Lepisosteus oculatus: one gene and its partners. The protein of the gene in region 1 purifies or fractionates together with the protein of each later gene. This does not show direct contact. Links are inferred from orthologs where the notes say so. Each region holds a gene or a part of one and is shown in the gene's direction. Other genes may lie near its edges. The genes, in order: tubulin alpha-1A chain, hax1, tcp11l2 and dnaJ homolog subfamily B member 6.

What was found.
Region 2: the proteins of tubulin alpha-1A chain (region 1) and hax1 purify together in Homo sapiens (affinity purification with mass spectrometry; 3 studies listed by BioGRID and IntAct, with this or other methods). This does not show direct contact. The link is inferred for Lepisosteus oculatus from reciprocal best matches to the Homo sapiens genes TUBA1A and HAX1.
Region 3: the proteins of tubulin alpha-1A chain (region 1) and tcp11l2 purify together in Homo sapiens (affinity purification with mass spectrometry; 3 studies listed by BioGRID and IntAct, counting the BioPlex papers as one, with this or other methods). This does not show direct contact. The link is inferred for Lepisosteus oculatus from reciprocal best matches to the Homo sapiens genes TUBA1A and TCP11L2.
Region 4: the proteins of tubulin alpha-1A chain (region 1) and dnaJ homolog subfamily B member 6 purify together in Homo sapiens (pull-down; 3 studies listed by BioGRID and IntAct, with this or other methods). This does not show direct contact. The link is inferred for Lepisosteus oculatus from reciprocal best matches to the Homo sapiens genes TUBA1A and DNAJB6.

Annotation. Positions count from the first base shown.
Region 1 is NC_090696.1:15,178,748-15,186,808, forward strand, and holds the start of tubulin alpha-1A chain, read left to right. Parts: upstream 1-4,481; 5' UTR 4,482-4,599; coding exon 4,600-4,602; intron 4,603-6,675; coding exon 6,676-6,898; intron 6,899-7,000; coding exon 7,001-7,149; intron 7,150-7,267; coding exon 7,268-8,061. UniProt on the Homo sapiens protein: Tubulin is the major constituent of microtubules, a cylinder consisting of laterally associated linear protofilaments composed of alpha- and beta-tubulin heterodimers.
Region 2 is NC_090722.1:5,809,316-5,817,141, forward strand, and holds the start of hax1 (HCLS1-associated protein X-1), read left to right. Parts: upstream 1-4,561; 5' UTR 4,562-4,704; coding exon 4,705-4,775; intron 4,776-5,077; exon of another isoform or gene 5,078-5,167; intron 5,168-6,179; coding exon 6,180-6,391; intron 6,392-7,125; coding exon 7,126-7,259; intron 7,260-7,757; coding exon 7,758-7,824; intron 7,825-7,826. Other genes in the region: pro-interleukin-16, read left to right, coding at 552-744, 1,150-1,248, 1,922-2,162, 3,046-3,171, 3,323-3,477. UniProt on the Homo sapiens protein: Recruits the Arp2/3 complex to the cell cortex and regulates reorganization of the cortical actin cytoskeleton via its interaction with KCNC3 and the Arp2/3 complex. Slows down the rate of inactivation of KCNC3 channels. Promotes GNA13-mediated cell migration.
Region 3 is NC_090702.1:55,180,809-55,188,408, forward strand, and holds the start of tcp11l2 (T-complex protein 11-like protein 2), read left to right. Parts: upstream 1-4,136; 5' UTR 4,137-4,271; intron 4,272-4,319; exon of another isoform or gene 4,320-4,579; intron 4,580-6,365; 5' UTR 6,366-6,371; coding exon 6,372-6,534; intron 6,535-7,305; coding exon 7,306-7,438; intron 7,439-7,600. Other genes in the region: actr6 (actin-related protein 6), read right to left, coding at 1,208-1,276, 1,521-1,638, 2,065-2,132. UniProt on the Homo sapiens protein: Promotes the migration of muscle-derived satellite cells (MDSCs) during differentiation throught interaction with FMNL2 and therefore may participate in microfilament assembly.
Region 4 is NC_090701.1:12,329,048-12,337,471, forward strand, and holds the start of dnaJ homolog subfamily B member 6, read left to right. Parts: upstream 1-4,984; 5' UTR 4,985-5,130; intron 5,131-8,424. UniProt on the Homo sapiens protein: Has a stimulatory effect on the ATPase activity of HSP70 in a dose-dependent and time-dependent manner and hence acts as a co-chaperone of HSP70. Plays an indispensable role in the organization of KRT8/KRT18 filaments.

The DNA of each region.
Region 1 (8,061 bases):
TGGAGTTGCCAATGCATCAGTTGTGATTAAACAGACAGCTGCCCCCAAAACAAAGCCAGTCTCTATAGATTTCTTTCCATGACACTGACACTTCTATAGACACCTTTTCAGGGACACTGATAAAGAAATGACATTCTTCAGGAAGGCAGCGACAAGACCGCTGTATTGGCAGACTGAATGTCAGTTATGGGCCAACACCACTGACAGACTCCGACTGGTTTTCCTTCTCTCCACCATTGCCGACTCCAGGGCCAGAAGCCCAGAAGCTCTGGCTCTGGGATTGACTGAAATCCACAGCTGAGCAAGGAGGACTGAGGGATAACATAACATCACTTTATTAGCCCTATACAATTTCTTGCATTAGGAATTTGTCTTTTTGCATACCCCAGCTTGCTCTCCATGAGTACCCCTGGAGCAGTTGGGGTTAAGGGCCTTGCTCAGGGGCCCAACGGAGTAGGATTCCTCTGCTGGCCGCAGGATTTGAACCAGCAACCTTCCAGCCACAGGCACAGATCCTTAGCCACAGAGCCACCACTCCGCCCTTATCACTCAGTGATAATGAGTGACCACTGAGTATCAATCACACAGCCAGCTCCTGTCCGGGAACCCTTTTACACAAGGCAGGTTTCCGTCTAAATGCAGACATTTTAAAAAACATTTTGCACAATTAACAAATCAGAAGGTGAATCCGTGGTTGGTATGTACTGTCAGTTAGTGACATTTTTGGCTTCAACAGATTTACAAGACATAACACGTGAAGGGTGATCTATGAGACCCGCTGGACTGTGTCTCTGCAAGGCCAGTGCTGATGCCATCTTTGAATTAGGCTGTGAGAGGGAGAGAGCACAGTAACGCCAACGCCACAAGCTCAGCAATGCCTGGCAACAGAAGGGCATATTACAAGACACCCACTGACATGCCAGACAGCTTCAGCTTGTACGGTTTGTAGAAACACCATGCAATTAGTAACAGCTGTGGGACAACAAGGTACAAAATAAATGAAACTGTGAATTCCAAACATGAAAACAATCACTTTAAAAGCCCAGATCTGGTGTGTGACTGGAGAGGGTCAGGAGTATGTCAGGCTATGTCTTGGGCGTTCTTTTCCTTTCCTATTCCTCTGCGCTACGTGTGAAACATGTCACAGGACTCCTGTCCCTTCTCGCTGGTGTAGGATGGTCAATGTGAGGAGCTCTGCCAGGGTGAGGGCGCGATGGGAGTGTCTTTATTTCCTCCGCCGAAGCTGCCCCCACCTCTCCTCATCTGCACTGTCATTCAATATCGGCCACGTGACCCACCGACTGCTAAAAGGGGGCTTTATGAAGCCTGATGTAGCATCTCCTGGGCTCTTACTGGTATCCTAGCAACTGAGCTATTCATTGCCTAGCAACTACAGGATACTGAGAAGGGGGCTAGGGGGTAGCCTTTCTCCTTCTTTGACTTTGTGTGTGCTGGGGCAAGATGGTCCAGACTGGCAGCCGGCCCTCTGGGTGCTGAAGAGATGGGATGTCATCTGCTTTGAGTAGTGTGTTCCAGACCCCCACAACCTTTAGTGTAAAGAGCTGTCTCCTGTTCTCGGGCGTAAATACACTGCCCCTTAGCTTCCAGAGCCTTTTCAGCAGCTCTGTGTGGTGCAATAGTCAATCAAGATGGGAAAAGACACCCTAAGTAGAAATGGCAGCGGGGAGTGGCTTATGGTAGAGTGATAAAACACAGTGATGAAAAGCAGAAATATTATAATAATCCAGATGAAGTCTGATACTTGTACATGATGCTGCTTAGCTTCAGGGCTTTCATATACAGCACGGGCTGACATGGCCTCCGCAACGTTGGTTTAAATTACTTCCAACTGAAATATTAATGTCTGCATAAATATTTCATCTGTATTGAGGGCTTTCCTAAAGACAAATTGCACCCCGAATCGCACAGTCATTGCAATCTACAAACTGCAGTTCTTTCTGCGATATTCAGGTCGGATTAACCAGTACTTTTCTCCCCAAAGGCGAGACTGGACAGTTCGTTCTAGGGCAAGGGTGGTGTGAAGTACAACTAAGCCAGTGGTACAGCAGTTTTTATTTTTTAGCTCTAAAAAACGTATATTGGAAACATGCAGTGAGCATTACACGTTTGGCTCTCACCCCAGCACATGGGGTGTCTTTGTTACCCGGCACTCGGTAGACACCCGGGAGCAGAGCCGCCACGGGGCCCGCGCTCGCTTCACACTCGGCGCCTTTGTGGCACGGCCGCGCGCCGCCATGGGCGTGCACCTGCGGCGCAGACTCCGCGCTTCTTGCAGAAACATTTCATCAGGAAAACCGCTGTAAAGGGTCCTTTTATAGAAACGTGATCTATATATATAGGGTTTTTACAATCGATGCTGACTGCTGACTTCTGCTTGCTTCAAGGGCAAGATAATGGAGCGCACGTGACGGCTAACGTACGGAAGAGCAGATTTTTATATCGCGACTTTTCTTTTTAATTTAGTGAAACCGATGCATTATAATAGATTTATTATGAAAGAAGAATACGGGAGTGTCTCTAATGAAAAATTGTTGAATTATTAAAAATTATAAACATTAAAAGCTATGGAAATTGGAGCCCAGTCAGAGACAGCGAGGTTTCACGGGAACAAAGGATGGGTAGCCAACTAAACACAGCCATGGGCGTCGCCGAATGTATGAGACTGTTACACCGCACGTTTATCGGGAACAGCAATCCGACAGAGCATGCAGTCATCACGTACAGCGCGCTGTCGCTTAGTCATCATAATTTAATACTTAAGCCCTTCGATCGCCTGTATAATTCAGCTGGTGTGCAGGCTCTTCCTGCGTGCTCCTCCGGCGCGGGCTGTCGGTTGCCCGGTCCTGTGGGAGCCGCAGGTGCGAGGGTGCCGGCTCTGTAGTGGGGGCGGGGCGGGCGCCCCAGATGAAAGCAGATGGCGCGTGGAGGAAGCCGCCTGAAGCCTGGAGCTAATATGCGGATACTGTGGGGGAGGCAACACAGCACATCTTCGGGTCCTGAAATATATATGCACTTAACTAAAGGTTTTATCATTCAGCTTTCTAAAATCGCTAAAACTATACAGATTTTTTTTTAATGAGGTAAGAAACTGCTTCACACCACCAATGTGCAGCAGTGGAGCAGTGGTTCAGGAGAGTCCCCATTACCTGTAGAGCGCTTTGAGTGGAGTGTCCATAAAAGTGCTATATAAGTGTAAGCAATTATTATTATTATTATAAAATGCGCCCAGGATTAGGGCCTACAAAATCTGTATCTGCTGGACTTGTGTGGCTCACAGCCGATGACAAAGTGCATCCAGCAGAACTCACACACATTACACACATTAAATGGGCGTATTTCTTTAATCTTAGATCATCTGTTTTCAGAGAGAGATTCCTGTTAAAAACAATAATCATCTCAGGCCTGCCTTCTGTCAGGCTAAGTGTCTCTGTCAGCCGGGAGCAGATCAAGTCACCGATGGCCGAGTGGGTTTAGTTCAGCGGTGGGTCAGTATGGCTGCGAGGGGCTGGCTACCAGTCCAGAGTGCAGTCGCGCCCCGAGACCCCTGATATCGGGAGCAGCTCGGGTCCTGCGAACGTTGCCCGGAAAGGGTGCTTTTCTGATTACGGGTGGACCTCGTCATCCCTCACGGGAGTCGATTTTCAGCCCCCCACACTAACCCAGAAGGTGACCCCAGGCGGAAGAGGGGCTTGTCCTCTAACATCACCTTTCACCCCCCGCCAGATTAAAGATAACACTGATCTTTTCTTATGATGCATTTTTAAAAAATACTAATGCTTCACGACTTGACACAGTTGAATTACTTCTGTAGGTACTGGGACCCTCCAAGTATTAATTACATATCTCAATTGATAGACTTTCTAATCAGTCATGAACTATGCGTCACGGTCCTGTAGTAATAGTATCACAATTAATTAGTTCAGGTGGGGAGCTGCGTCAGCATGTGCAGGCTGCAAAGGAACAAGTAAAGGTTTATTCCACACTGAAAAGAGAAGAGAGAACATACAACGTTTCGGCTGTGGAGCCAGAAGGAGCCAAAAAGCTCCACAGCCGAAACGTTGTGTTTTCTCTCTTCTCTTTTCAGCATGGATTAAACCTATTGTTCACAATTAATTATACACTTTGCTGATATAAAATATGGCAGAATATCCCCTAAATGCATCAATCCATGTGTATCACTAGTCCTCTTCAGAGATATGCCTCCTCCATTAGTGTTGCTAGACCATGATGAACTGATGCTGTTAATGCTTTACCCAAGTGAGCGACAGATAACTGTTTTCTCTATTGTCCGGACAAGGTGGGGGTCGGCAGGAGGGGCTTGTCCGGCCGGGGTGGTGCCTTAACCAATGGGAAATCAGATCCGCCGAGGTCTCCGGGCAGACAGCAGACACGTCGCCCAATGATAAAATCGCAGGCGCAGTCGCCACGGCAACGCATGTATATAATAAGCCGTTCACACCCATGTGCTTCACGTTCTCTTGCATCGACCTCCTTGCTGTCGGGTTGTGAGAAGACTCTCTGAACGGGCTCTTTCCCCCTCGCTCGCCTGCCAGACAAGAACTCCAGACGGCATAGAAAATGGTAAGGCGAGGGGTTTCACATTTCGGAACAATGGGGTTCCTTTGCTACCTTGCGTGTTGAAAGGAAAATGGTAGTCTGAGCTGTAGAAAGAAAGAGCAGCACTGTGGAGTTTTCTGGAGTGCGCGGCGAGGCTGGCTGTCTTGTCGCTGTAACTTGTCACCCTGCTCAGAGGGGTCCGCTTCATGTGCTGAACAGACGTGGAAGGGGTGGTGGGGGCGGGATTTTTGGAAGGGTAAAGCATTTTCACGACTAGGGCAGTTGCTTTTGTAGAAAATGCATTATAGAAAAAATCCAAATAACGAGATGACGGGGAAACAAGAGTATTTTGACGTACTGCCAGCGGCACACGGAGCTGTCTGAAATTGTGCGATGCCGGAACCCCTCGCCTCTAAGGCTCCAGTAACAATAGACCAGTGTTGGCCTCACTGGCGAGGACTGGGCTATGTGGTCCGAGAAACCCCGTCTCAGACAAAGGCGCACTTGACAGGAATGCGCTGTGAGCGGAATAAATTATCTGGGACACATCTGGGTGTTCCCCGCCTCTCGCAGTAAGACGTCCTGTCACTTCGGATTTTACAACCCCCACGCCCGTCCGTTTCTTGGATAAATCACAGAAATGGGAACGGACAGGTGTGTGTTTTCTATTTTTTTTTAAGTTTGAAGTCGAATGGATGGAGCTGTCGAGGACAACAGAAATGCGAGCCGACTTGGCACGCACTTCATCCGTCAGCGGCAGCGCGGCGCCTGAAAAAAAGACCGAAAGCCGGTTTGTTTTCATGTGAAGTGCTCTCCAGAGCACTAAAATGTCACACAGCTTCCGCTGCGCGTTGTCAGGGCGGCTGTCCGTGTGTCCGTTTCGGACCCCGGGGAGTGCTGTGGCCGGCGCCGAGATGGAGCAGAACCCCAGCGCGCGCCGCCTGGCTCGGGCGCGCGGCGCTCCGAACGCGCCGTCCTTTGTCTGGCGCGCTCTCACCCCCACCCATTATGTGCGTGAGCTCGCGCCAGCCGCCCCGAGCGCCGCGCAGGCTGGATCGTTCCTCCAGAGCTCCAAGCCTTGCACACAGCCAGCCAGCCAGCCAGCGAGCGCAGACTGGTACCCAAACCTTCGTGTTCGACTCTTTCAAGTATTAAGGGTCTTCTGCAGTTCGGCTCCGCTCTCTTGCTGTGCTTTTGTTAACCGGGTCAAGCAATGATTCCATGAAGTAAAAGCAAGGCTCTTTGTCTTGGATGTACAGTAGCATAACTGCCCGACAGCGGTATACATTTTCAGTGAAAAGAGTTGTGGTCCACACTAATATGAAGAGAGTAGCCCACATGGTAACACCTGCTTGTAGACTGTCAAGAGGGCAGGAGGCCTGCTGGAGTTACGATGGAGGTTTTTCCTCAAAGGGCTCATTATTGTGCTGCTCACTAGAGCACAATTCAGTACTGTGGCTGGGAAGGAGAAAAACGAGAAGATGCCTCTTTTTTTATAAAAGAAAACAAAGGATTTAGGTCAAACTACTCGGCAGAAAATCAACTGGGGAAAAAGGGCCAGGCTTTGTAAAGGTCTGTAACTATTAAAGAAAAACGTATTAAGATGGAATCAGTACAGAAATACAGATGAGTTGTTGAAAAACGGCTCTTGCAAGAAGGCCAATCACTAATAAAGAAAAAATAACAGCAGGAAATAATGCTTGGTAATTTGTCAGTAAATACTGGACTGGATTATAAATCAGCCTTTTCTTACACTATTTAAAAGTCCTAAGGCGTCCCTTCTTAAAGTTTAAAGTAAACAGATAAGCGTTTACATTAAAAGGTGAGATTTCTATGGATTTGTCTTTCTGTGCAGAACAGCAGCCTGATCAAAATATTTTAAATACTGAAATAGTGTTAAAATAGTCTAACCGAGGCAGTTAAATCAATGTCATTGATCAAGTAAATTAGAGAGGAAATCAAGATTGATGCATTGCAGGTGGTTGACACTGTATCCAAGCTGAGGTCACAGAAATGAGTAAGTTACAGGATTCTTCCTCTTCTGATCTTCAGCCAGCACAGTTCCTCCTGTTAACTGATCTCTTTCTCTCTTCACAGCGTGAGTGCATCTCCATCCATGTCGGCCAGGCTGGTGTCCAGATTGGCAATGCCTGCTGGGAGCTCTACTGCCTGGAGCACGGGATCCAGCCGGATGGCCAGATGCCCAGTGACAAGACCATCGGAGGCGGCGACGACTCCTTCAACACCTTCTTCAGCGAGACCGGAGCGGGCAAGCACGTCCCGAGAGCTGTCTTCGTAGACCTGGAGCCCACAGTCATCGGTAAGCTCTGCAGGCTGTGGAGTGGAGGGGGATCAGGGCTGTTCCTCTTCCTCCCTGCTCCAGAGCCCCTGAGCTCACAGCCCTTCACCCGTCTCTCCCCAGATGAGGTGCGCACTGGAACCTACCGCCAGCTGTTCCACCCTGAGCAGCTCATCACTGGCAAGGAGGATGCTGCCAACAACTACGCCCGTGGGCACTACACCATCGGCAAAGAGATCATCGACCTGGTGCTGGACAGGATCCGCAAACTGGTGGGTATCTGAATGAATGTTGAACAGCCCAAACCACCCGTGTTAAGAATTAAAAAGATTGAATGGAGAGCACGTCTGTCTTCTGCAGTAGTCAACCAGATGCATCTTCTCTCTCCAGGCTGACCAGTGCACAGGTCTGCAGGGCTTCCTGGTCTTCCACAGCTTTGGAGGTGGTACCGGTTCTGGTTTCACCTCTCTGCTGATGGAACGCCTGTCTGTCGACTATGGCAAGAAGTCCAAGCTGGAGTTCTCCATCTACCCAGCTCCCCAGGTGTCCACAGCTGTGGTGGAGCCCTACAACTCCATCCTGACCACCCACACCACCCTGGAGCACTCCGACTGTGCCTTCATGGTCGACAACGAGGCCATTTATGACATCTGCCGCAGGAACCTCGATATCGAGCGCCCCACCTACACCAACCTCAACAGGCTCATCGGCCAGATCGTGTCCTCTATCACAGCCTCCCTCCGATTCGATGGTGCCCTCAATGTTGATCTGACCGAGTTCCAGACCAACTTGGTGCCCTACCCTCGTATCCACTTCCCACTGGCCACCTATGCCCCTGTTATCTCTGCAGAGAAAGCCTACCATGAGCAGCTTTCTGTGGCTGAGATCACCAATGCCTGCTTTGAGCCGGCCAACCAGATGGTGAAATGTGACCCCCGTCATGGCAAGTACATGGCCTGCTGCCTGCTGTACCGTGGTGACGTGGTGCCCAAAGATGTCAACGCAGCCATCGCCACCATCAAGACCAAGCGCACCATCCAGTTTGTGGACTGGTGTCCTACTGGTTTCAAGGTTGGCATCAACTACCAGCCTCCCACTGTGGTGCCTGGTGGAGACCTGGCCAAGGTGCAGAGGGCAGTGTGCATGCTGAGCAACACCACCGCCATCGCCGAGGCCTGGGCCCG
Region 2 (7,826 bases), on another chromosome or scaffold:
CCCCCGGTCATCCGCAATCTGGATAGCCACCGGGGAAAAAGAAAAAAGAGGGGTTTTTCATCCAGTATGGGGTGCAGTGCTCTAGGGCAGCGGGGTGGTGCAGAGGTTTGCACTGGAGCTCCACAGCACCGGGACACCTGGGTTCGATTCCTGGGGTGCTGTCTGCGTGGAGTTTGCATGTTCTCCCCCCCCAAGTCCGCGTGGGTTTCCTCCCGCAGTCCAGAGACAGGCTGGTGGGGTAACTGGCTTCTGGGAAAACTGGGCCTGGTGTATGAGTGTGAGTGTGAGTGTGAGTGTGAGTGTGAGTGCTGGGAGAGGCTCTGACTCCCCCGTGACCCTGTACTGGATGAAACAGTGAGAAAATGACAAACCATTTACTGAAGGATCCAGGGACTCTCACTTCAACAACACAGCTGGGCAGCTTGTTCCAGGCACCTGCTACCCTTCCTGTAGTGCTGTGTCTTCCCCTCGCCTGACGACATTTAACGTGTCACGCACGGGAGAAAAACACACGGCCCTATTCACCAGCCCCCCTCTCTCTCCCCCCCCAGTCTGGCGGACCTGTGCGGCTTGGGGGGCGCAGACGACTGGGACGACTCCGACGCGGAGGACAGCCGGTCGCTCCGCTCCGCCTCCCTGAGCTCCAGCATGTCCTCCGCCCTGTCCATGGTGTCCATCATCCCTCACGACGAGCTGGAGAGCCTGCTGGACGACGTGAGGGCGGCGGGGGAGGAGACCCTGGCGGTAAGCCCCGCCCATGTCCCCGCCCACACGTGCACAAGCCTCACCTACTGGTGCACTGGCGCACGTGTGTGCGTGAGCACGTGCACGATTCCCGGACTCCTGCAGGAGTGGAGCACAATGACTGGGCACGGGACGTTGTCTTTTATGTAGCATTTATTTGTGCCGTCCGAGAGCTTTTGAAAGTCTCTCTATGTGTGCAAAACATATCTCCATGGATGTAAAGAAATTTTGTGAGAAATCAGACAAAGTATTACTGCACGCGTGTATATTACGAAAATTCTCGGACTCACAGCATGTACTGTACAGAATTGTTCATGTCCACTTTCTCTTTCTCTCTCCCTGCTGTTCCCACACTCTCTACTCTCTGGCCTCATCTCCCCGTCTCTGCCTCCTCCTCGCTCTCAGAACTGTGAGGATATCCAGGTGGTGGTCCTGCACAAGGAGGCGGGCTCTGGGCTGGGCTTCACCGTGGCCGGGGGAGTGGATCAGAACAAGCCTGTGACTGTGAGTGCACACTGTCTCTGTGTGTCTCTCTATGGCTGTGAGTGGACACACTCTCTATGTGTCTCTCTATGAGTGGACACTGTCTCTGTGTGTCTGTCTGTGACTGTGAGTGCACACTGTCTCTGTGTGTCTCACTATGGCTGTGAGTGGACACTGTCTCTGTGTGTCTCTCTATGAGTGCACACTGTCTCTGTGTGTCTGCCTGTGACTGTGAGTGCACACTGTCTCTGTGTGTCTGTCTGTGACTGTGAGTGCACACTGTCTCTGTGTGTCTCTCTATGGCTGTGAGTGGACACTGTCTCTGTGTGTCTCTCTATGAGTGCACACTGTCTCTGTGTGTCTGTCTGTGACTGTGAGTGCACACTGTCTCTGTGTGTCTCTCTATGGCTGTGAGTGGACACTGTCTCTGTGTGTCTCTCTATGAGTGGAAACTGTTTCTGTCTCCTCATCCTTCTGCGTGACTCTGTGTCAGAGTGTCTCCCAGCTTCTGCGTCCGTCTCTTGTCTTCTGCTGTGTCCCCTGTCACGTCTCGCATCTGGGCCCAGATGTGGTTCCCCCCCGCACCCCGCAGTGTCCACGGCTCGGCACTCCGCTGTCCGGCCAGGGGGCAGTGAGCTCCCTGCGCACGGCCGGTCCGGACCGTAATAACGGGAGCGTCCGGCTGTGTCCGCAGGTCCACCGGGTGTTCCCCTGCGGCCTGGCGGCCCAGGAAGGCTCCATCCGCGAGGGCGACCGCGTGCTGTCCATCAACGGCACTGCGCTGCAGGCGGCCGCCCACTGGGAGGCGCTGCGGACACTGCGGAGGGCGAGGTCCCGAGAGCAGGCCATCGTGGTGCTCCGGAAGGGGACCTGCACCCCCGCCGCCACCGCCGAGCCCCAGGGCACCCAGCCCCACGGCCTCCCCACGGGTGACGGTGGGTATCCAGACCAGAACCAGGCCGCGGACCCAACTGCCCCACACAGCTCCTTTGCATGGCAGCTGGCAGCCCACTGGAGCTCAGGTGTGAGTCTGCCCAGCTCCTGGATGGGAGACTGCTGCTGGAGGAGGTGTTAGTGAGGCCAGCAGGGGGCGCTCACCCTGCGGTCTGTGTGGGTCCTAATGCTCCATTATTGTGACTGGGACACTATGTAGACTGTAAAAAGGCGCCGTCCTTCGGATGAGACATAATACTGAGGTCCTGACTCTCTGTGGGCATTAAAAATTCCAGGGCGTTTCTCCAAAAAGAGTAGGGGTGTTAATCCTGGTGTCCAGGCCAAATGTCCCCTGGTGGTAGTGGAGGGGATCCCCATTACCTGTAAAGCACTTTGAGTGGTGTCCAGAAAAGCGCAAGGAATGATCATTTATGTTGTAACTACATTTCACTGTAACAGTGAGCACGACAGTGTAATAAGCATGTTCTTGCTTGAGACCCGCACTGGTCAAAGTGGCTCCTAGAAACAGGATTTATCCCCGTTTCTAAGGTGTTCAGTGGAATAAACAGTACAGGTTTCCTCCTTTAGGGGTTCACCCCAGCCACTGGTGTGGGTACCCACTGATAGGGCTGTGAAGGCAGGATAGTACAGCGCCATAATGAGACAGGCCAGATTTGAACCCGCAACCTTTTGAAAACAGGTTCAGAGCACTAGCTGCAGCTCCACGCTACCCCCTTCAGTGCATAAAGGAAAGTGTAATATGGTGAGGGAATTAGGGCTTATTACTGTGTAATAGATGTCATATTACTATGTAATAGATGTCATATTACCACAGGATGTGTAATGGCAGGAGTGTAATGGCCTCCTTGTGGTTCATCCCTGCAGCCCAGCCAGGGAAGACCGTGCATCTGATCCTCACCAAGAGCTCCTCGGACCTGGGCTTCAGCCTGGAGGGGGGGCGCGGGTCCAACCAGGGGGACAGGCCCCTCACCGTCAAGAAGGTCTTCCCAGGTAAGACGCCGACGGGCAACGTCAGGCTCCCGAGCGTCACTTTAGCGCACTGCTGTCATGTTCCCTTCCTGGCCCTCCCACTTTTTATTCACCTGCCCTCCCTCCCTCCTTCCTGTCTTCCTGTCTCCCTGTCTCCTGCCCGTCTTCCCAGGCGGCCCCGTCGACCAGGTGCTCCCCGGAGACGAGGTCCTGGAGGTGAAAGGTCGGAGCCTGCGGGGCTTGAGGAGGCTGGAGGCCTGGAACTGGATCAAGATGCTGCCCCCTGGGCCGGTGGAGGTGTTACTGCAGCGCCCCTGCAGACTGTAGGGAGAGGAGGAAGAGAGAGGGATGAGCTTGTCTGGCCCTGTAACCAGCACATGGGGGACAGGGGTTCAGGGCACAGAGAGAGAGGGGAGACAGGGGTTCAGGGCACAGAGAGAGAGAGGAATTCAGGGCAGAGAGAGCAGTGATAAGATTCAGACATGAACACAGGCAGAAAATCAGGAAGCTACACAGAGCAGCTGAATGAAGAGGGGGACAAGAATTTGCAGCAATTCATGTTTCAGCATCTTTTAACATTTTGTATAACAATCTTAAAAAAACAAAAAAAATGGCTTGTTAATAATATCTTGTTAACGTCCCCTAAAATCAAAATCTTAATTATAAACTTTTGTGCTTGCTTTAAATAAATGTGTTGTAATTCAGTTTTGGATTGTGTGTTACTTTTTCTCCATCTACGACGTTCATTTTATACGAATATCAAACTACAGTTCAGTAGAGCCCAGTGAGATCAGGGTAAAAGCACAGTACAGTGCAGTACAACCCAGTGAGATCAGGGTAAAAGCACAGTACAGTGCAGTAGAGCCCAGTGAGATCAGGGTAAAAGCACAGTACAGAGCAGTATAGCCCAGCAAGATCAGGGTAAAAGCAGAGTACAGAGCAGTACAGCCCAGCGAGATCAGGGTAAAAGCACAGTACAGTGCAGTAAAGCCCAGTGAGATCAGGTTAAAAGCACAGTACAGTGCAGTAAAGCCCAGTGAGATCAGGGTAAAAGCACAGTACAGTGCAGTACAAATGTGGTGAACAGCTGTAGTCTAAGCCTCGTGTCCGTTCTCAAACTTAATGAGAATTAATCAGCCACATTCTTCACTGCACATGCTTGTGAACGAACAGCAGGTTGTTTGCCTGTAAGGCAACCTTTTTTTTCTTTGAGCTGGCTGAAGCGGTACGTCGGGATTTTTCTCCAGTGATTAATCAGAAACCAGATTCGAGCACTGTGAATAACGCTGACTCCTACACCACCCCCCCTCGGCCTCTAGCTTGCTTTTGTGCTGTAATGTTTACGACACACCGCCCGTGCCCTCCGCGTTGTAACTTACAGCAATAATCGTCACTTTCCGGCAGTGTGTCATTACGGCCAAGTTCAGTTACGGCAGTGTGGCACGTTCGTTTTCCTTCTCCGCGTCCTTGTAAGAAGAAGCGAGCAAGAGCTTTATGCCAAAATAAAGTATTAAGCCACAAAGACGATTTTTTATTTAAAAGGAAATCTGTCAGATGAGCTTGTTTGACTTGTTTCGCGGTTTTTTCGGGTTCCCGAGAGGCAGTTACCCCGGAGATAGACGGAGGTGAGTTAGTATTGCAGTTGTCAAACAGATGTTTACCCTGTTTTGAAAATGCTTTACTTTTGAAGTGTTATTTTTAATATTTTAAAAACGGCCTGGAAAGGCGCTTTTAAGGGAAACCACGGCTGGAAATACCGGTTATCTAAAGTTACAAATTCCGACGTGAACTAATACACGACATTTTGTTGGTTATATCATCTCGGTGCGTTATCAAGACCCTAATACTGGTAATTCCGTCGTTACTGACGAGGATGACGACAGACTCTTAAAGTATTGCTCATGTTGTGTACGTCTAGTGTTCTGGAACTGGACTTAATTATGTAGCACAAATAACTTTGAGACTGCCGAGAACAATTCCGCTCTGAAGTATCGGAAGGGAATAACTACATAACTGAGTAATTCACTCGTCACTTGAGCAAGTCCATTAGAGACTGAGCACCCCACGAGCTGTTAGCCGTTTGCTTATTAGGTTTTAGCTGACGTCTAACATTTCAGTTACTCAGAAACCACGATGGAGCCGCTTTGAAGAAAGCTTTTTTGCATTTTTTAAATTATTTTCCATTGTTTTTTTTTAAATATTTGCTTGCTTGTTGCTTCTTGTTGATGTTTTACTACGTTAACACACCGGTAAAGTTTCCGCCACTAGAGGGCGCCCGGCCTCTTTTCTCTTCTCTCCTCCTCCTCCTCCTCTCCCCACCTCTGTTGCTGTCTCCCTCTTCCTTGTTTCCTGTCCTTTCACATTTTTCTCCATCCATCCATTTTCTAAACGATTAATCCAGGACAGGGAGGGTCACAGGGGAGCTGGAGTCTATCCTAGCAAGCAAAGGGCACGAGGCGGGGTACACCCTGGACAGGACACCAGTCCATCGCCGGGCACACAGACACACACACCCTGGACAGGACACCAGTCCATCGCCGGGCACACAGACACACACACCCTGGACAGGACACCAGTCCATCGCAGGACACACAGACATACACACACACACGCCCTGGACAGGACACCAGTCCATCACAGGACACACGGACGCACACAAACCCTGGACGGGATGCCAGTCCATCGCAGGACACACAGACACACACACCCTGGACAGGACACCAGTCCATCGCAGGACACACAGACTCTCACACTGACACCAGGGCTGATTTGCCCCAGAGCCCAGCAGCATGTCTTTAGACTGCGAGAGGAAGCGTAGCACCTGGAGGAAACCCATATGAGCCTCCAGAGAGAGCATGCAGACTCCACACAGACAGTGCCCCGGGTTCGGGGTTGACCACTGGGAGCCACCGTGCCGCCCCTTTCGCCTTCCCGGTGTAAACTCCGTGCTCTCGCTATCCCACAATCCCTCCACACGCCGGCGCTGATCTCTCTGTCAACCCCCCCCCCCCCCTCCTCTGGCGCTCCAGGGACCCGTTCTTCGAGGGCATGACGCGAGATGATGACGATGACGACGACGACGAGGGCGAAGACGAGGAGGCGCTGCGGTTCGGGTTCAGCTTCGGCCCCGGCGGGATGCACTTCGAGGAGCCGGCGGCGTTCCGGGAGCTGTTCCGCGAGGTGGAGGAGCTGCTGGCCGGCGTGGGCCGCTGGGACGGCCTGCCCAGCTCCACCCCCTTCGGTGAGCCGCCTGGCGACGCCCCTTCGGGTGGGGGTGGCGTGCTGCAGTCCTTAAAGACGTGAACACCCAGGGTTCAGTTCCTGGAGTACTGTCTGGGAGGAGTTTGCATGTTCTCCCTGATTTTGTGAGTGTGTTTCTTACCACAGTCCAACCACCCAATAGAAGGTTCATTGGCTTCTGAGGGACATGGCGTTGGTGTGAGTGTCTGTGTCTGTCTATGCTCTGATGGACTGGTGTCCTGTCCAGGGTCTGTGTGCCCTCTGATTGACTGGTGTCCTGTCCAAGGTGTGGCTGTGTGTCCGTCAATGGACTGGTGTCCTGTCCGTTGCGTGTGCGTATCCATCTGTCCGTCCATCCGTCCGTCCTCTGATGGACTGCTGTGCTGTCCAGGGTGTGTGTGTGTGTGTGTGTGTGTCTGATAGATTGGTGTCCTGTCCAGGGTGTAGCTTGCCTTGCCTGTTGCTTGCTGGGATAGGCTCCAGCTCCCCCATGATCCTGAATTGGTTGAAGTGTTTAGAAAATGGATGGATGAGGAACCAGTGGATAGGTGTGCTTAAGCGTGTGTGGATGTGCTCATGCGTGTGCGTGTGATGTGTTGGTTCCTAGCACACTGCACCCCGTACTGTACTGTGTTCCTGTACAGTGCAGGTGTCTTCTGTTCCCTCCTGCTGCCTGGATGTGTCCTGTTAGTTCCCCACCGGATCCTCATGCTCTCTCCCCTCTCTGCTCCCCAGCGATCCCCAGTATCGAGGCGCCGGGGCGGCAGGAGCGCGGCAGGTCTCCGAGGGACTTCATGCTGAGACACCCCGACAGCACCCCGTCCTCTGACCAGGGGGACAGGGAGCCCCCCTCAGGGCCCTTCTCCAAGGTGAGAGCCCTTCTTCAGGAGGGTGTTGATCGACCTGGCTCTGTGTCCGCTGCCCCTGTGCTGTCCTACTGTATTCCACTCCCTCCCTGTCACTGCGCAGTTCTGCTGTCTCCTCTCTGTGCGTGTGTCTTTTCTGGGAAGCCACTTTTAAAGGTGCTTTAGAAAATAATAATAATAATAATAGCCTCAATAATAATGATAATGATAATAATAATTACTATGATCATGTTGCGATCCGAAGTGATTGTGAGGATGAAGGGGGATGTTGTGGTTTTTCTCTCTTGCACCCGATTGCAGCGCTGCTGGTGTGGGCAGGGCAGGGCGGGGTGGGGTGGGGTGGAGGGGGGCAGTAGGGGTGCGTGGATGAGCGGACGGAGGGGTCAGGGGTCAGTGCTGAAGGAAGAGTCGTTTCGGAGTGCCTGTTGTATTAATCCTCTTCAAGCCCTGATGTTCTGATGGGCTTTGGGTCACTAAGCCTCCCTCCTCTTCCTCTCCCAGTTCGATGACGTCTGGCGGGGGGGCCTGTGGAGGGCGGAAGAGGGGGAGCCCCTGAAGCAGGACGGAGGT
Region 3 (7,600 bases), on another chromosome or scaffold:
AATTCTTATTCAATTCCAACAACAGACTATGAACATTCAATTTTAATGATCGATTTTCCACTCGTCAAACATCATATATTGTGCATCAAAAATATTTAGAACTTAAAACTATAATGAATTCACAAAGTCATTATCAGGAAAAAAAAGTCATGTATTGTAACAGGCAGGTACAGCACCAGATGTGGCAGGGGTAAATTCATGAGGCAGATTAACACTAGTCAGGGTTGTTACTGATTAAATCCTATCAACAAGGCTGATCAATATGGGGTCTACTGTGAAATTCACGTGCTAGTAACGTGAGTGGATATCACTGGAAGCAACACAAGCTGTACATCTGTGACACATGCTTTGCACCAGGTAGCAGATGATGTCGCATCTGTAGAGCCTGGGCCGGCACATGCTTGTTCCCTGGTCTCGGAGCCCTGGATGCCACACATTGTCCCTGCTCAGCCTGCAGACGTTCCATCCAGCTCGTTTTTGGCGAGTAGGATATCCATGGCATAACCGCACCGTTTCCACCTTGCCTGAAAGCTGCCGTCCCAGCAGCGACATGAGCCCGTGCTGTCCTGCTGGGACGCCGTCAGGTCAGGATGAGCCCTGCAGGAAGGGCAGTGACTGACATCACCGGACTTGATCAACGCAGTGCCGTGCAGTCAGGCTGCCATCAACGACTACACGCCCAGCTCTGTGGTGACTAGTAATGCCTGCCCTGTGCATCACACTTGGACCTCCCCATCTACTGACCCGGTGCACGTGACAATCCCATACTGTTCCGCACCACTGCGGGAGATGCGCTTGCCTCCAGGAGAGTGCTCTACTGTACACACACCTTCAGTGCTGCCGAGTCCACCCGAATGTACTCCGTTCAGCCTCCAACATACCAGGTTTCTCTCTTGTTAAGAAGGAAATAGCCATTCCTTCCTGCCACTTGCTTTCTTGGCTTCCACCGAGCTCGACAGGGCAGTACCTGACACGGCCAAGCCTGTCGCTGCTGAGGCGAGCTGACACCATTCGTGCAAACAGCCAAGATCAGTTGAATGCACGGGCCATGAGTGATCAAGAAATGAAAACGATGCCCCAACATTCAGAGTACACGTGCTTCGTTGTTCTAAAAACAAGCAGCTGGCCGGCGAAAGGAACAGAACGAACACGCTGTCCTGAAGTCACTGGCCCCAAGCAGACAGCCGGAAAGACGGCTCTCGTTTACCTTGTACATCTCCTTTCCAAACAGGTGATCCCACACTTTCCTCTGGACATCCCAATTTACCAAGTAGCCCTGGAAAACAAAGTGACTTTCATTTTCAGAACAACCACGAACACATTCAAAAGTAAATCATATATTACACAACCACTGTAAAATAATCTCATCAGTAGTCGCATTTAGTCGAGCGCTTGCAATCACATCTTTGCTCTTCCAACTTATATTAAACTTAAAGGTACAGTGTATACAAGGGATGCTTTAGCTAAAAACTGGCAGAAACAATATTAAAAGCTTAAATAAAGGCTGAGGCGGAGCCCACCTTCTGGAAAGGCAGGATGTAGAAGAGTCCCGACGGATCTTTTATTTCGTCGATCTGGTTGGCGGTGAACGTCTTCAGCCTCGCAGTTTTGGAGCGGAACTGACAGTTGGGGATCACGCTGGGGGAAACACAACGAACAGGCAGGAGGTAAAAGCTTCAGACTCGCGAACCGAGAAGGGCCAACACTGACGGTTCAGCCCATAACAGATCTCACAGACTACCAAAAGGGCCCATCAGCACTGCCTCGAATGTGAGCAACAACAAAACGTGATAAATGCGAAACGCCGTCACTCACAAGATCACTCCCGCGTGTCCTGAAATTTAAAAGCACAACAACGGAACCTCGTTAAGGCTCAGTGAAATAAGCTTGTGTTCCCCACTCTGTGTAACTGTGGTCTTATCCTCTGCAGGGAAGCCGAATAACTGATGAACCTGACATGACTTCATTTTACTGTAACCAAGGAGAGTAGCATTTGTCGTTAACAAAGCAGAAAGCCCACGATATATACAAGAACCCAAGCAAGGTGTCGTAAATTAAACCAACCTGACATTCTCATGGCTGTAACCAATTTTTGCGGTATAAGCCCCATTGTCAAGTACCAAAGTCGTCATTATTACAATAGCTGCCCGACTCGAAAGCGTTGATTTTTGTCTGGGAAAGTGTCCTCACTACAGCGCCGCTCCGCAGATTCAATCAATCGCATTTCAGGCTGCTGTCCGCCCGATAAAGGGGCCGTGTTGGAAACAAGCGCTTCACTTTGGTTCCACCTCGGGCAAGTGTTTTTGAAAAACAGCCACAGATATTTCAGTGTCGATTTCAAACCTTTCAAACCAAAGTAAAATAAATTCCTTTTCGTTAGTTCAGAACTGTTATTTATATATTCTGAAGCAGTGCGAGTAGGGAGCTGCGTCAGCATGCGTAGGCTGCAAAGGAACAAGTAAAGGTTTGTTCCCTGCTGAAAAGAGAAGAAAAGAAACACAACGTTTCACACACCTGAAGAAGGCTCCACAGCCAAAACGTTGTGTTTCTTTTCTTCTCTCTTCAGCATGGAATACACTTTTAGTTGTTCATTTATATATTCTTTTTTTTTAACTGAATGAGGACAGAGTTCCTTGCCTGCAGTACCTTCTTATGGCCGCTAGGTGCCACAGTTCAGCTCCCGTTTTAACTTCAATGAAGTCATAAGATAAGATTACTTTATTGGCTTGCTCTCCATGAGACACACAGACAGAGAGAAGCTTGGGGTCAGAGATTGTACGGCGCCCCTAGAGAAGTTGGGGTTAAGAGCAACTTAACCCCAACTATGGTATCATAGTTCCCTAACTATGATATCAGGCCACCACTTGTTAAGGCTGTTTTGCACAAAACTCTTACATTGGAGAAAAATAAGGTAAATAATAAGGGGAAATTTAACTAAAGTTGCATTACATGACATCTTCACAAGTCTAGACAAAGCACGAATCCAAAAGCAGCTAACAAAGACTTACAACAACTTATTTTGACACTTGCTGGAGCAGCCTGGGGAAAGACCGTTGCTCGGGGACACAGCAGTATGGCTCCAGTTAGGAGTTCTGAGCCCTAACCAGCATTCAACACCCCCACATGCTTGAGCTTTTCAAATATGCATCCATTCACATACAAAAGGAGGACTGTTTAACAAAAATAATCAAGCAAAGGATTCATCAAAGAAGATATTGTTGATCTGGAATCAGTCCAGAAAAAAAGCACTTAAATACATTCTGGCCCCTTTTCATCTTGAACAGAGAAGATTAAGAGACGAGCCGACACATGTATTTGAAGTCTGCAAAGGCACTGTCAAGGTCAACCCAGCAAGGGTCTTTGAAATAAAGAGTGAAACACGAACCAGAGGACACAAGAAGACACCACGTTGAAGTGCATTTAAACTGAGAACAGGAGGCTCTCTTTTGCACAAAGGGTTGTAGGGGTTTTGAACAAGGTACTCCTCTAAACTCTTCAATATGATACCCTGGCTTCTCTCAAGAAACAGCTGGATGGGTTCCTCAGATCAACTAGCTACTAACGACCAAACAGGCCAGATGGACCAGACAGCCCGGTTCCTTTCATTTTCAGGTACAAATGTCAAGTGAAGTTGACAGGAACGAATTTTCCACTGGATGAAAATGAGATCTTTTAAAAAAAGAGGGGATTCAGAATTATCTGACAATCGACACAATTAAACAAAACGGTTGCTTGTGTTATCAACGGTACCGTAATACAACACTTAGTACTGCACACTTCAAAACAATGATAAAAAAAAACATTTCCTTGTTTTATCTTCTTTCCTCGGGCGATCGATTCAACCTGCGTCACATCCGTAAACAAAGAACACTGTGCTCGAGGCGGCAGGTACCATCTTCGGCTTTAGATGAGGGAGAGTCGCCTTATTATCGTCATGCAGATGTAGCACTGATTTTACTAACCGGTGCACGAAAGGAAACAAATGAGAAGACTGATCACTTATATCATTATGTGTTGTTTGATATGCCTGGCACGCCCACGAAATATGGACAGGTTGAAAGAATGAAACGCGCGGTGACCCCCTTCAGACAGCCACCGATGGGCCATCCCGAGTGTAACATAAATAGTAGCGTGTTGGCCAGCTGGGACATCAGGATCTTTAAACTGTGCAGAGCGCAGCGTCCGGACACTAAGTATCTCTTCCCGAGATAGACACCTTAATATAGCTCTCCTTTGATACCGAGTCTCCGTTAGCAGGAGGCTTCTTAAAGGTAATTTAGCGACGACTTTTAACAATAATCAAGATTTCAGTCACTAATCTGGCTCTTTCGCGGGTCGGTGCCCTGTGTTCTTCGGTGTTTTGGGGGGAAGTTAAGGTACCGTTGGCTTTAAGAAAGAAGAAAAACTTGTTTGGGGAAATCTGTGGGCGGGCGCTGGTGATGCTAACGGCGAGGTGCTGTCTTAGCAGGAATAACGCGTTGTTTACTCCCGAGACAGCGCAGCGGGCCTTGAGAGCTGCCAGCGGTCGGGAACATCTGTGCGGTGTTTTCGGGGGAAAAAAAACAACTTGTAATCTGAGGTTTGTCTTCTTGTGTTGACTAAGCAGGTTATGTAGAGTAATAATCTTCTGGTTCTGATCCGTTTAGACGAAACAACAACATGTTGCAAGCTCAGCCGCGAGAAACCTTGTGCAAGAGGGTTACTGGTTGCGAGGGATTAGAGCATTTCTAGTCGGTTAGCCCGTAGACCCGGCGCTTTCCGACGGTAACCGTGCCGCCCTGTGGTGAGGCGACTGGACCTCGCCGTCCCTGCCCGGCTCGGTCCTGCGGGTCCGTCCCAGTTCTTGTTTTGGTGCTGGGGGCTCTGATCACGTGGGCCGCAGGGTGACGTAGGCGGGGCGGCTCGAGGAGGAGGAGGGGTATGGTTGCTAGGCTGCGCTCTGGCCTCCCCGCCGCGGGCCGCTCTGCGCGGCGGAGGGGCTGGTTTTCTCCGAACCCGCGCGGCGCTGTTCTCGAACCTTCCCCGTTCGCAGCCCGAGGACAAACAGGCTTCCTGCATCGCTCGCACAGCCTGGGTGCGCTATATACAGCCTGGGTGCGCCCTGCCTACAGCCTGTACGCCCTATATACTATACAGCCTGGGTGCGCCCTGCCTACAGCCTGTACGCCCTATATACTGTACAGCCTGGGTGCGCTATATGCAGCCTGGGTGCGCCCTGCCTACACCCTGTACGCCCTATATACTGTACAGCCTGGGTGCGCTATATACAGCCTGGGTGCGCCCTGCCTACACCCTGTACGCCCTATATACTGTACAGCCTGGGTGCGCTATATACAAGCGCGAGTCCCGCAGTATCCTGTGCGTCTGGAGCCTCAGGCGCAGATCGGATCAGATCCCACCCCGTGTTATGGTGCTGGGATCGAACTGCAGACCTGGCCGGCTTGCGCGCTGCTGTGTCTGAAGAGCTCACTCGCATGTAGCGAGACGCAGCGTCCTCAGTTGCCTGCGCGGTACCGCGAAGGAATCAATTAAAAAAACAAAATGTGTGTGTTGGGGGGGGGGATTTAGTAGCATCACTGAAACGTAGGGTATATCTTTCTTTAAAACGGAGACCTCTGGTTTGCGCCATGGTGTCCCACTCCAGCGCTGGCAGCACTTTGTGAAACTCGGGCAATACTTCATGCTGCGCATGAGGGTAATGGATATCTGTCGTGTCGCTAGTTTCGACCCGAAATCGTTCCAAAAGCGGTAACTTTTTTCCGGGCTGCCTCGGTCAGGTCAGGGCGAAGCCACACGTCAGGACCTCGTCGTGCTGCCGGCGGCTCGCTAACGTGTTTCATGGCCCCTCGCCTTGACATCTCGTGTGGGAGACCCGGCCGGGCCGCAGCGCCGGTTTGTTTACAGAGTCCCGGCCGTTGCCATGGTCACCGAGCAGCTGTTCCAGCGGGGCCGCGTGACTCCCGGGGTCACGGGGTGACGAACGCCCCCCCACGCGCGTTCTGGCGGCGGCGGTAGTAAACATAAGCATCGTCTGCTCCGGTTTTTGTCGCATAGGCAGCCGCCGCCGCTCATGTGCAGCGTTGTGGTCAGTGAACGGCGCTATAAACGGCACAGTGGAGGCAGGTCCGGCAAAATAAACGAGCGGACTTGCTGATGGTCTTGAGCAGCGGCCTGCGCGACGGGATGAAACACACGGAGATGAAAGTGTCGGCTCTCCCGGCCATAGATTCCATAGATAAGGGAGCCTGAAAGTGGGGTTTGGGGTCGGTCGACAGGTGGGGGGAGAAACGCACGCACGCACGCGTGGGCTGTTGCGGTCGCGCTGAGGTTCACGGGCGGCGGCGCCTCTCCGGTCCCCCACGCAGGACGCGATGCCTCTCCAGGACGAGCGCCCCTCCGCCAGCTCGGACCCGGAGACGGAGCAGGACGCGGGCCCCGCGGTGCGGCGCGACAGTACGGGCTCCTCCAGCGACGGCGAGAGCTCCCGGCGCAGCTTCAGCAGCGACGCCTCCAGCCGGCTCAGCTCCCCGGCCTGTGAGTCCCTCCGGAGAGGACGTACCCCTGCGTGCTCGCCGTGTCCTCCGCGCCGTCCTGGCCTCTTTAGTAGTAATAATAATTGTTTACACTTATATAGCGCTTCTCTGCACACTCCACTCAAAGCTCTTTACAGGTAATGGGGATCCCCTCCACCACCACCAGTGTGCAGCCCCACCTGGATGATGCGACAGCAGCCACAGTGCACCAGTTCACTCCCCACACACCAGCTCTCAGTGGGGAGGAGAGCAGAGTGATGGAGCCAGTTTATAGATGGGGATTATTAGGAGGCCATGACTGTTAAAGGCCAGGGGGAAATTTGACCAGGACGCTGGGGTAACTCTTTTTCTCTTTTCGAGAAACACTCTGGGATTTTTAATGACCCCAGAGAGTCAGGACCTCAGTTTTATATCTCATTCCGAAGGACAGCCCTGTTCCTGTCACTACTCTGGGGCATTAGGGCCCACACGGACCTCAGGGTGAGCGCCCCCTGCTGGCCCCACTCACACCTTTTCCAGCAGCAGCCTTAGTTTTTCCCAGGAGTCTCCCAGCCAGGTACTGGCCAGGCTCACACCTGCTGAGCTCCAGGGGGCTGCCGGCTGGGAGTGATACAGCTGCTGGCTGTACTGTACACACAACTGTGGGTTGACGGACAAGAGTGAAGACCCTCGCTCATGTCTGAGTGGTACAGCTATTTTACAGTAGTGCTAGAACTCTGCAGTAAGTGGCCTCTCATGGGGATGTGTGTGTGTGTGTTTTTTTTATTTCTAGCAAGCCCCCCGAAACCCGGGACGTTCGACGAGCTGATGGTGTCTGCACGAGACCTGAGTAACCTGAGCCTGGCACACGAGATAATCGTGAACGGCGACTTCCACGTGAAACAGCCCGACCTACCTCAGGGCAGGTACGCCCCCACGGGGTGGTCGATGCGCCGTTTCGGAATCTGTTCGGTTTTGGGCGAAAGCCGAAACAAAAAGCGTTCTCGTGTTGTGGTGGACTTTTACAGTAGCACCTGCAGTATCCTGGATGCATGCTCGGTCACTGGTTGAGCTGTGGTACCTTGTTG
Region 4 (8,424 bases), on another chromosome or scaffold:
TTTTGTAATTTCTAGGCAGAGATGAACCGTGGTACAAGAAATGTAAGTAGTGGGCTGAGTTTTTATCACAGGCCAATTGGAACACAATTAAACATTAAGTGTTTCTAAATTTAGTAATAATAATAATTATTCTTTACACTTATATAGTGCTTTTCTGGGCACTACACTCGTTTTACAGGTAATGAGGACTCCCCTCCACCACCACCGATCTGGGCCAAAACACTCACCACACATCAGCTATCAGTGGGAGTAGAACAGAGTGATGAGGCCAATTCATAGAAGGGGATTATTAGGAGGCTATGATTGATAAAGGCCCATGGGAAATTTGGCCAGGACACAGAGGTTACATCCCTACTCTTTTTGAGAAATGTCCTGGGATTTTTAATGACCACAGAACGTAAGGATCTTGGTTTTACATCTCATCTGAAGGATGGCACCTTTTTACAGTATAGTGTCCTCATCAGGACTCGCACAGACCACAGGGTGAGCGCCCCCTGCTGGCCCCACTAACACCTCCTCCAGCAGAAACCTTACATTTTCCTAGGAAGTCTCCCATCCAGGTACTGACCAGGTTCACACCTGCTTAGCAGTGGGTTACAAGTTGTAAGTTACAGGGTGATATGGCTGCTGGCTGGTAGTAGGGTTTTGCTGTTTCCATGTGTTTCTGAATAGTTGTCTTCAGTTGCTTTCTTAAGCAACACATTTCAATGAAAAATAAGGATGATTCTTTTTCATTTGGACAGTCAATTCAGTTTGGACAGTTGGAATTTACTTATGAATGCCCATGCATTTGTGCTTCAGGGGAGGTTCAATTATTTAAAATAGCCTTGATTGAATTTATGAAAAGATTTGAAATCCTAGCCAAATACATATGGGGGGCAGGGTTACTAAAAATGTAATCTGTCTAAACCAAGCTGCAGTTTATTTCCATTATTTGTCAACAGCATCCCTGGTCTAGTTATTGTTTTTTGAATTCTGTATTCTAGAACCAAGTCTGAGAACAGAAGTGGATTTCAACCCACACTGACATACTTCTTCAATTTCACAAATGGTCTTCTCCACCAAACCTTTTCAAATTTCAAACTTCTGAAGAAAAAATATACAGTCCCTGAAAGTGAAATAATGCCTGTATGGTGGATGATTCAGTTCCTCAAAACTACAGTTGCTAATGGCAGATTGAACCTTACGTGACTTTTGCTCTGTCATGAAGAATAAGGAGACATTTAACCAGGTTGTTCTCAAACTGTTCTGGTGATTGCATTACAGAAATACTTCTTCATCAAATAGCTTTTGGCAGTGAGAAATATTTTCTGTGGCATGAATTCCAGTTGCAGAAGCTGTCAGTGTCACACAAACTGATTGCTGAAAACATTTCTAGAGATGCTGCTTAGATCGCCTTTCTTCTAAGATCTCAGTGGCAGCCTCTCTTTTCATTGCTAATAACAATCCTCAAGGGAAAACAAAAGAAGCTGTCTGTGCCTTTGTGACAGAGGTCTAAGTGTTCATGACAGATTTCATAGGAAGTTTGTATTTGAACTGGTATCAACAATCTTGATAGCTTTGAACATGTGACAATTTTCCTTGTGAAGGATAACATGGGGTCTGACCCAGTTCAGGGTTGCAAAGGAGCCAGAGCCTATCTCAGCAAGCAGTAGTCATAAGGAAGGATGCATCCTAGAAGGACACTAAGCCATTGCAGGGCAGACATATTCACACCTAGGGCGTATTTTCCACCCTTAGTCAATTAACCTACCAATATGCTTCTGGGCTGTGGAATGAAACCACAACATCGGGGGGAAACCCACACAAAAACATGGATAACACACAAACACACAGAAAGTTTTCCACACTGAAAATACCCCAAATCCAGGACCCAGGGCCCCAGAGCTGGGAGGCAGCGATGTAAGGTTGGCAGGGATTGAAAAAGGACAGCAATTTCAAGTCTTGCTACATATGTACTATTAGATTGAAATTGTGACTTTGACTAGGCAACTAGATATTTCGCTTTGCATTTGGACCAAAAATAGCTCCCTTCCTTTTACTCTGCCATGCAGACCAGCTTTGTGGAGAGACTGAGATATTGATTCATGGATAGCTTTCTCCCATCTCAGCCATTGAAGTCTGTTGCTCTTTCAAGGTCAAAACTGGCTTTACGATGACATCCTGAACCATTTTCTTCCTTGCCCACCTGCTTTAACGGTATAGTCTGATCTAGGCAGTGTCTCAGTGATAGGGTTGTTTCTGTTAGGCCTTCATAGTTGAATCTTTACTTCACACTCACTGCCTGACAGAGGAACATTCCAGGGACAGGTGCATTTATTCTGAAATCATAAAGCCACTATAAAGTAGTTTTCAGAAAGAGTAGTATTGCTACCCTGGAGTTCTGACTAAATTCCCCCCCTGGCCTTTACCAGTCATGGCCTCCTAAAACTCCCCATCTATGAATTGGCTTCATCACGGTATTCTCCTCTCCACTGATAGCTGGTGTGTGCTGGAGTGTACTGGTGCAGTTTGGCTGCACTTTGGCTCACATCATCCAGGTGATGCCGCTCATTGGTGGTGGTGGAGGGGAGTCCACATTACCTGTAAAGTGCTTTGAGTGGAGTGTCCAGAAAAGCACTATATAAGAGTAAGAAAATGGGTGAAAAGTCTACCTGTGTTTCTGAGGTCCTCTGACCCCTGGTTCAAAGCCATTCTCTAACATTTTATTAACTACTGCAAATTTGAAGTTCTGTACCATACAATATGTAGTGTTTAGATTTTATTTTTATACTTTAAATATTTTATCATAAAATTCAATTTAACTGGGAATGCATAAAAAACTTTGTTAACTTAATGTATTAATGTTCCTTTGACATCCACTGCTTATTTCCTTATACTGTACAAGCATATCTTGTAAAACTTAAGTTTAAATATCCCCACAACTCATATAGGGACTATGCAGCTGTCAACATTTAAAATCTATTTTGAAAAGGTGTTCCTGTGAGTAAGTCAATTGTATTTCTTTTTAGTTATTCTAATTTAATTGTTTGTGTTTCTTGTGATTTTTTATTTTATAATCTTTTTAAAGTAAATGTACAACATATACAGAAATGCATTAATAATGCTATGCAAGGTAGGAGAACCAATAGTGTCTGTTTGTTTTTTTGAGAGCATTTCTATGGCACTATATCTAAAATCTACAGAAATTAAAACTATTGTGACGGTTTTTAATTCTGGCTCTTAAAGGTTATGCTAATATAAAACTACTCTATTAGAGAATATCCCAGCATAAAGACGTGCATTACGTATTGTGCTATCCATGTTATAAAAGCTTACTATTCCAAAATGTGGTGGAGTTGATAGGTATAGGAGGTTGACATTTACTGAAGTAACATTTTAAGCAAAATAATGTATAAGCAAAATATATAATGTTTATATGAATACTGTGAGTGCTGTATAATATTGCACTGTAAATTGAATATGTTTTTATTCTACAGTATATCTAACACACTATAGCACATGTATTACTGTATTATGAGTATTAGGAGCACAGGAGCTCATCAGGGTTGTGTCTTATCATCTTTGCTTTACTTTCTGTTTACAAATGACTGTATTTCACATTCAGATTCTGTAAAAAATGTTCAAGTTTCCTGATGACGCTACTCCTGTAGGGCTCACCACAAACGATGATGAATCAGTAAACAGGAATGAAATAGCTGAATTAATTGATTGGTGTAGCCTAAACAAACTGGAACAAAATGTCAGCAAAATAAAAGAACTTTAGGCAAAGCAAAAGAGCACTATTCATCACTGGTCAGGCTGTGGACGTGGTGGAGAATTTTAAGTTCCTGGTCAAGAAAGCTCACCAAAGGCTGTTCTTCCTGACACAGCTGAAGAATTCTGGAGTGTCACAAGAAGCAATGACCCTTTTCCACACTGAGAGTGTTTTGAGCTTCTCCCTCACTCCCTCACTGCGTGGTATGGCAACACTTCTGCCCAGGACAAGTCATGTACTGTATATCGCCTCCAAATTTAAAGGATGCCACCTTCCCTCTGCCTCTTGAAATTGAAACACAAAATTCTCTGAATTCTCTGATCTCTAAGATCCTAGCCAACCCTTCCCACTCTGCTCAACCTCTGTATGTGCTCACTGAACCAAATTCCATGCAAGTAGTTGTTATGTCAATAAACTATAAAGTATTAGTATATATGACATACCCATGTTATATAATATATAACGTGTATTCAGTATATAAAACATGGTGTTCCTATGGCATTGATATAGATTAATTCCATGCAAGTAGTTGTTATGTCCATAAACTATAAAGTATTAGTATATATGACATACCCATGTTATATAAGTATATAACGTGTATTCAGTATATAATACATGGTATTCCTATGGCATCGATATAGATTAATTCTACAATTTACAATCCACAATCCTTTGATAAGAAAAACAATCTACAAATGCAAGAATCAACCTGTGTGGTTATTAAGCACAGAACTATAGTACTACACAACATATTACAGAACGTGACTGTAATAGTGTAGGCCTTGTAGTAACGTACTGTAGTGAGCACTATAGTAAATTGTATAGTACTACACTAGTGTATCACAATACTATACTGTTGTGCTGTAATACACACAAATTGCAATATGCTATACTTTTTACGTAAGAAACACACAAATTAAAGCACACGTATAAAGGGTAATTCTTCTATACTCTTAATCCAAAAATCTCAAAATGCCTCACAAATACCACAGGTAAGAACATCAGTACACGTCCGTCCTATTTTGATTACTACAGAACATTCTGGAAATGGTTTTATGTGGGTAGCGCGTTTGTATTTTGTGTATGAAGGGATCTGGCAAAATAAATATTATTAACCACAACATTAAAGACGACAAAGCAGACGCCGGTTCACGTCAACCACAAATTTCCAGAACATTTCAAAGATAAATTCCCCTCCTCCCCCCATTAGAGTTTGCGGCTTTGGCTGTAGCAGGAAGTGACGTTACAAGTGCCGAGGAACAAGCAGGGGCACCAGAAGTTGCTCTTGTGCGGCGCCTTTAGAGTACAAAACGTACACTATACAGTATAAAACAACAGCAACAAAAGGGAGGTCTTGGTAGCCGAACGGGGAGGTGAGTCTGTGTCTGATGTTGTCCTGACCGCCGACGGTTGCGTTTGTGCGTAGTGAGTGCACGTCGTGGAGGATGGCGAAGGGAGAGTGCAAATACTGCGTGCTCTGAATACATTTGCCGAGCTGGTTAAGATGTGATCCAGAGAAATATATGCCCGTGCGTGTCGCAGCGATATCGGGGGAGGGTTGTTCATCCGGGGGGGTCGGTCCCCGGAGTCTGTATGACTAGAACCCCGAAAGCGTGAAAACGGCAGAGATTGGCGGGGGGGGGAGGATCTTTTGTCCTCCAGGATAGTGGTGAGGAAAGTGTCCCCCTCAAAACACGGGGTCTCCCCTGATTACGAGGATGGTGGGTTCGTAGACACTCTCTCTCTCTCCCTCCCCCCGCCGCCCCGGTTCTGCTGTGAAGTATTTCATGATTGAAGAGTCGCGTCGTCCCTTAATTGCTCTTAGATGCGAGTATTGGATTTAGTACGTGCGTGAGCTGGGAACCCCATTTCGAGCAAAACACCTCTCAAAGAGAAACCTCGCAGCACGGACCGCACTGGGTGAACCCAGGTCCGGGTCGACCCGGGGTGACTGTGTTTTTGGTGTCGCTGCCCCTCACCGCGGCCAGTGACCAACGCCAGTACCTGCTGCTCTCTGTGAGCAATGTTATCGCTGTTGACAGGGCCGCTCTTAGGATGTCGGCGGGGCATAAAGGCAAAACTGGACGTAACCAGTGTTTTTGTTTTGCGAGGCAAGCGGTGTCGGGAGGTACTACACGGCTTGGGCCCGCCTGCGGTTGGCTTTGTACACCGGTGTTTTCAATCCGCACCGAAGACCGAGGCGTGTCTGGATGAGTGTGGGGACGTCCCCACTAAAGACCCCCCCTGTCCACACCGGCAGGCGCCGAGAACCGTGTATCCCTGTCGCCCTGGTCCCTGGACTGGATTAGCCGGTTCAAATGAAGGTAGTCTTGCCCCTGCGTCCATGGGGCACTTTCTCCTTCCCTCTCCTCAGAGTACACGTGAGGCTGGCTGTAGTTTACAGTCTGTGACTTATAATAATAATAATAATAATAATAATTGGTTACACTTATATAGCGCTTTTCTGGACACTCCACTCAAAACGCTTCACAGGTAATGGGGACTCCCCTCCACCACCACCAATGAGTGGCATCCACCTGAACTTTTCGTGATGGGCTGATTTGTTAAATGCTGAGACACGGCCCTCGGTTTGTGGCTCTTCTTTTCAGTTCCCTCTTTGGCTTTAGGGCTGTTGTTATTTTCGATTTGTAAACATTTCCTTTGCTGACGCCGGGAGAGCTTTCCGTGCGAATCCGGGGCGAGGAAGAGTTACTTCTGCCCTTTTGAAAAATGTGTGTGCCGGTCTAGTTTTGACACCGCGTGTGAAATTAGGTAAAACTGCTGCTGAGCTGTCACTATTTGGACTTTTCTACAGTAAAAAAAAAAAACCTGAATAGCTGTAGGGGACATTTGTGTTGATTTAAGCAAATTTCAAGATTTTCATAACGTCTGCTCGTGTATTAGCATGAGGGAGTACGCTTTAGTGAGCTGCGGTTGACACCAGAATACATTCCCGGTTGTGGATGTCCTCTTAATCCACTTAATACCCTGTGCATGTGGCACAGAAAAGCCATTGCTACAGTGCTTTAAATGTGTTACTTTTCAACAGGTTTGCACTCAATCTATGGATTCATTTCTAAAGTCCCCTCTGTGCTTTATTAGGAAAGAGCTGCTGTTACTGGTGCCTATATTACACACACAGCCATGAGACCCAGCGATACAGTTTCTTAGCAAATGGTATATTTCTGTTCAAGCCATTTGAAAAGTGTTGCTTCTGAGATCTGTGTTTGGTTTCTGGAGCAAGCACTTCAAAGTGTATTGAATGTCTTTAACATAGACACTTAGATAGTTTGCTGGCTACGTATGAAGTAGCTGGCTTGCCAGTATCTTTGAGAGGTAGTTTTGGTTGTGTAAAGATAGGTTGTCTTGCACCAGTTCTAAAGATGGTGGTAAAGTTGCAAACGCTAATCCTATCCCGCTTTTAACATAAAATCATACAGTGTGATGGATTGTGAGAGAAGGACCTTCCATCAAGACTTTCGGTTTCAGGGGAGTAAGGCTATAGTCTAAAAGTCAGCGTATTGACCTGCATGATGCTCTCTTGTTTGCGTAATTCAGGACTGTTGGAGATGAGGCCTTTGTATCTGTGTGTTGGGCCAGCTGCCTTCATGAAATGATAAAGCGCACCGTGATTAATGGAGTGGTCACATGAGGAAATAAACCAGATCTGCTCTTTCCTTGTCTGGAAGATAAGAGGATTGTGAACCCAGAAACTTTTATTTTATTTGGTCATTAATTATATATAATTTATAAAATGTCATGACGTATTTAACCTTTTTCCCTGTGTTTAAGGCTACCTTTTAGAGGCATTACTTAATTTCTTAACTATAAACAAGCTGAAAAAAATGTTGGAGAAACAGCAGAAATGGACTTAAGAAGTATAATTCTGAGATTGCACATTTGTTGAATAAACAGAAATGTAATTTAGACAAGGTATGTGATCTGTTTGCACTGAACTGTCATTTACATCACATTAACTAATTGGACTTCTGTCAGTGATGTACAGACTTTCTGTCCTGACGCAAGATCTTGAGACTTGCATCCCAGTTAAATAAAACAGCAGCAGCAGTTTTAGGGATGGGAATCCCTTTGGTTCAGGGGCATCTGTTTTGATGTCACAATCCATGCGTTGTGATCGAGGGATTATGTGTTGGACATGTTACACAAGTGGTTGGTGGACATTAGCGTGGGCTACTGCTTATCTGTACTGTTGTATCGTTGTCTGGACACTGTGAGTTGGAAGCAGATAAGCGAGTGAGCCCTGAAGTACAGAACTGACCTTGCTTATCTGTCTTGCTAACATGAGGGGGGGCTGGACTTGTACAGGCGTCCCCCGTTTTATGGGAAGGTTACATTCCACGAAAACCTCGCATCAGCGGTACCTTAACCCTGCAGGGGGGAAAAAGGGGTTGTGTGGAACGGTGTTAAATGTAGTGTTCCAAATGCATTTGGATCATACAAATACATGCTGACATACATTAGGAATTAAAACTAAACTTAACGTAAATGTTATTTGACACATTATTCTAACTAAAAATAAATCAATGCTCGCCAAAATAGGCAGACCGTAAGGCTCAGGGGACCGAGATGTGGGTGCTGATTTTGACTCCAAAATAACAGCAGCAGCTATAGCAGGAACAGATGGAAATGGCAAACGCGCCGCATAA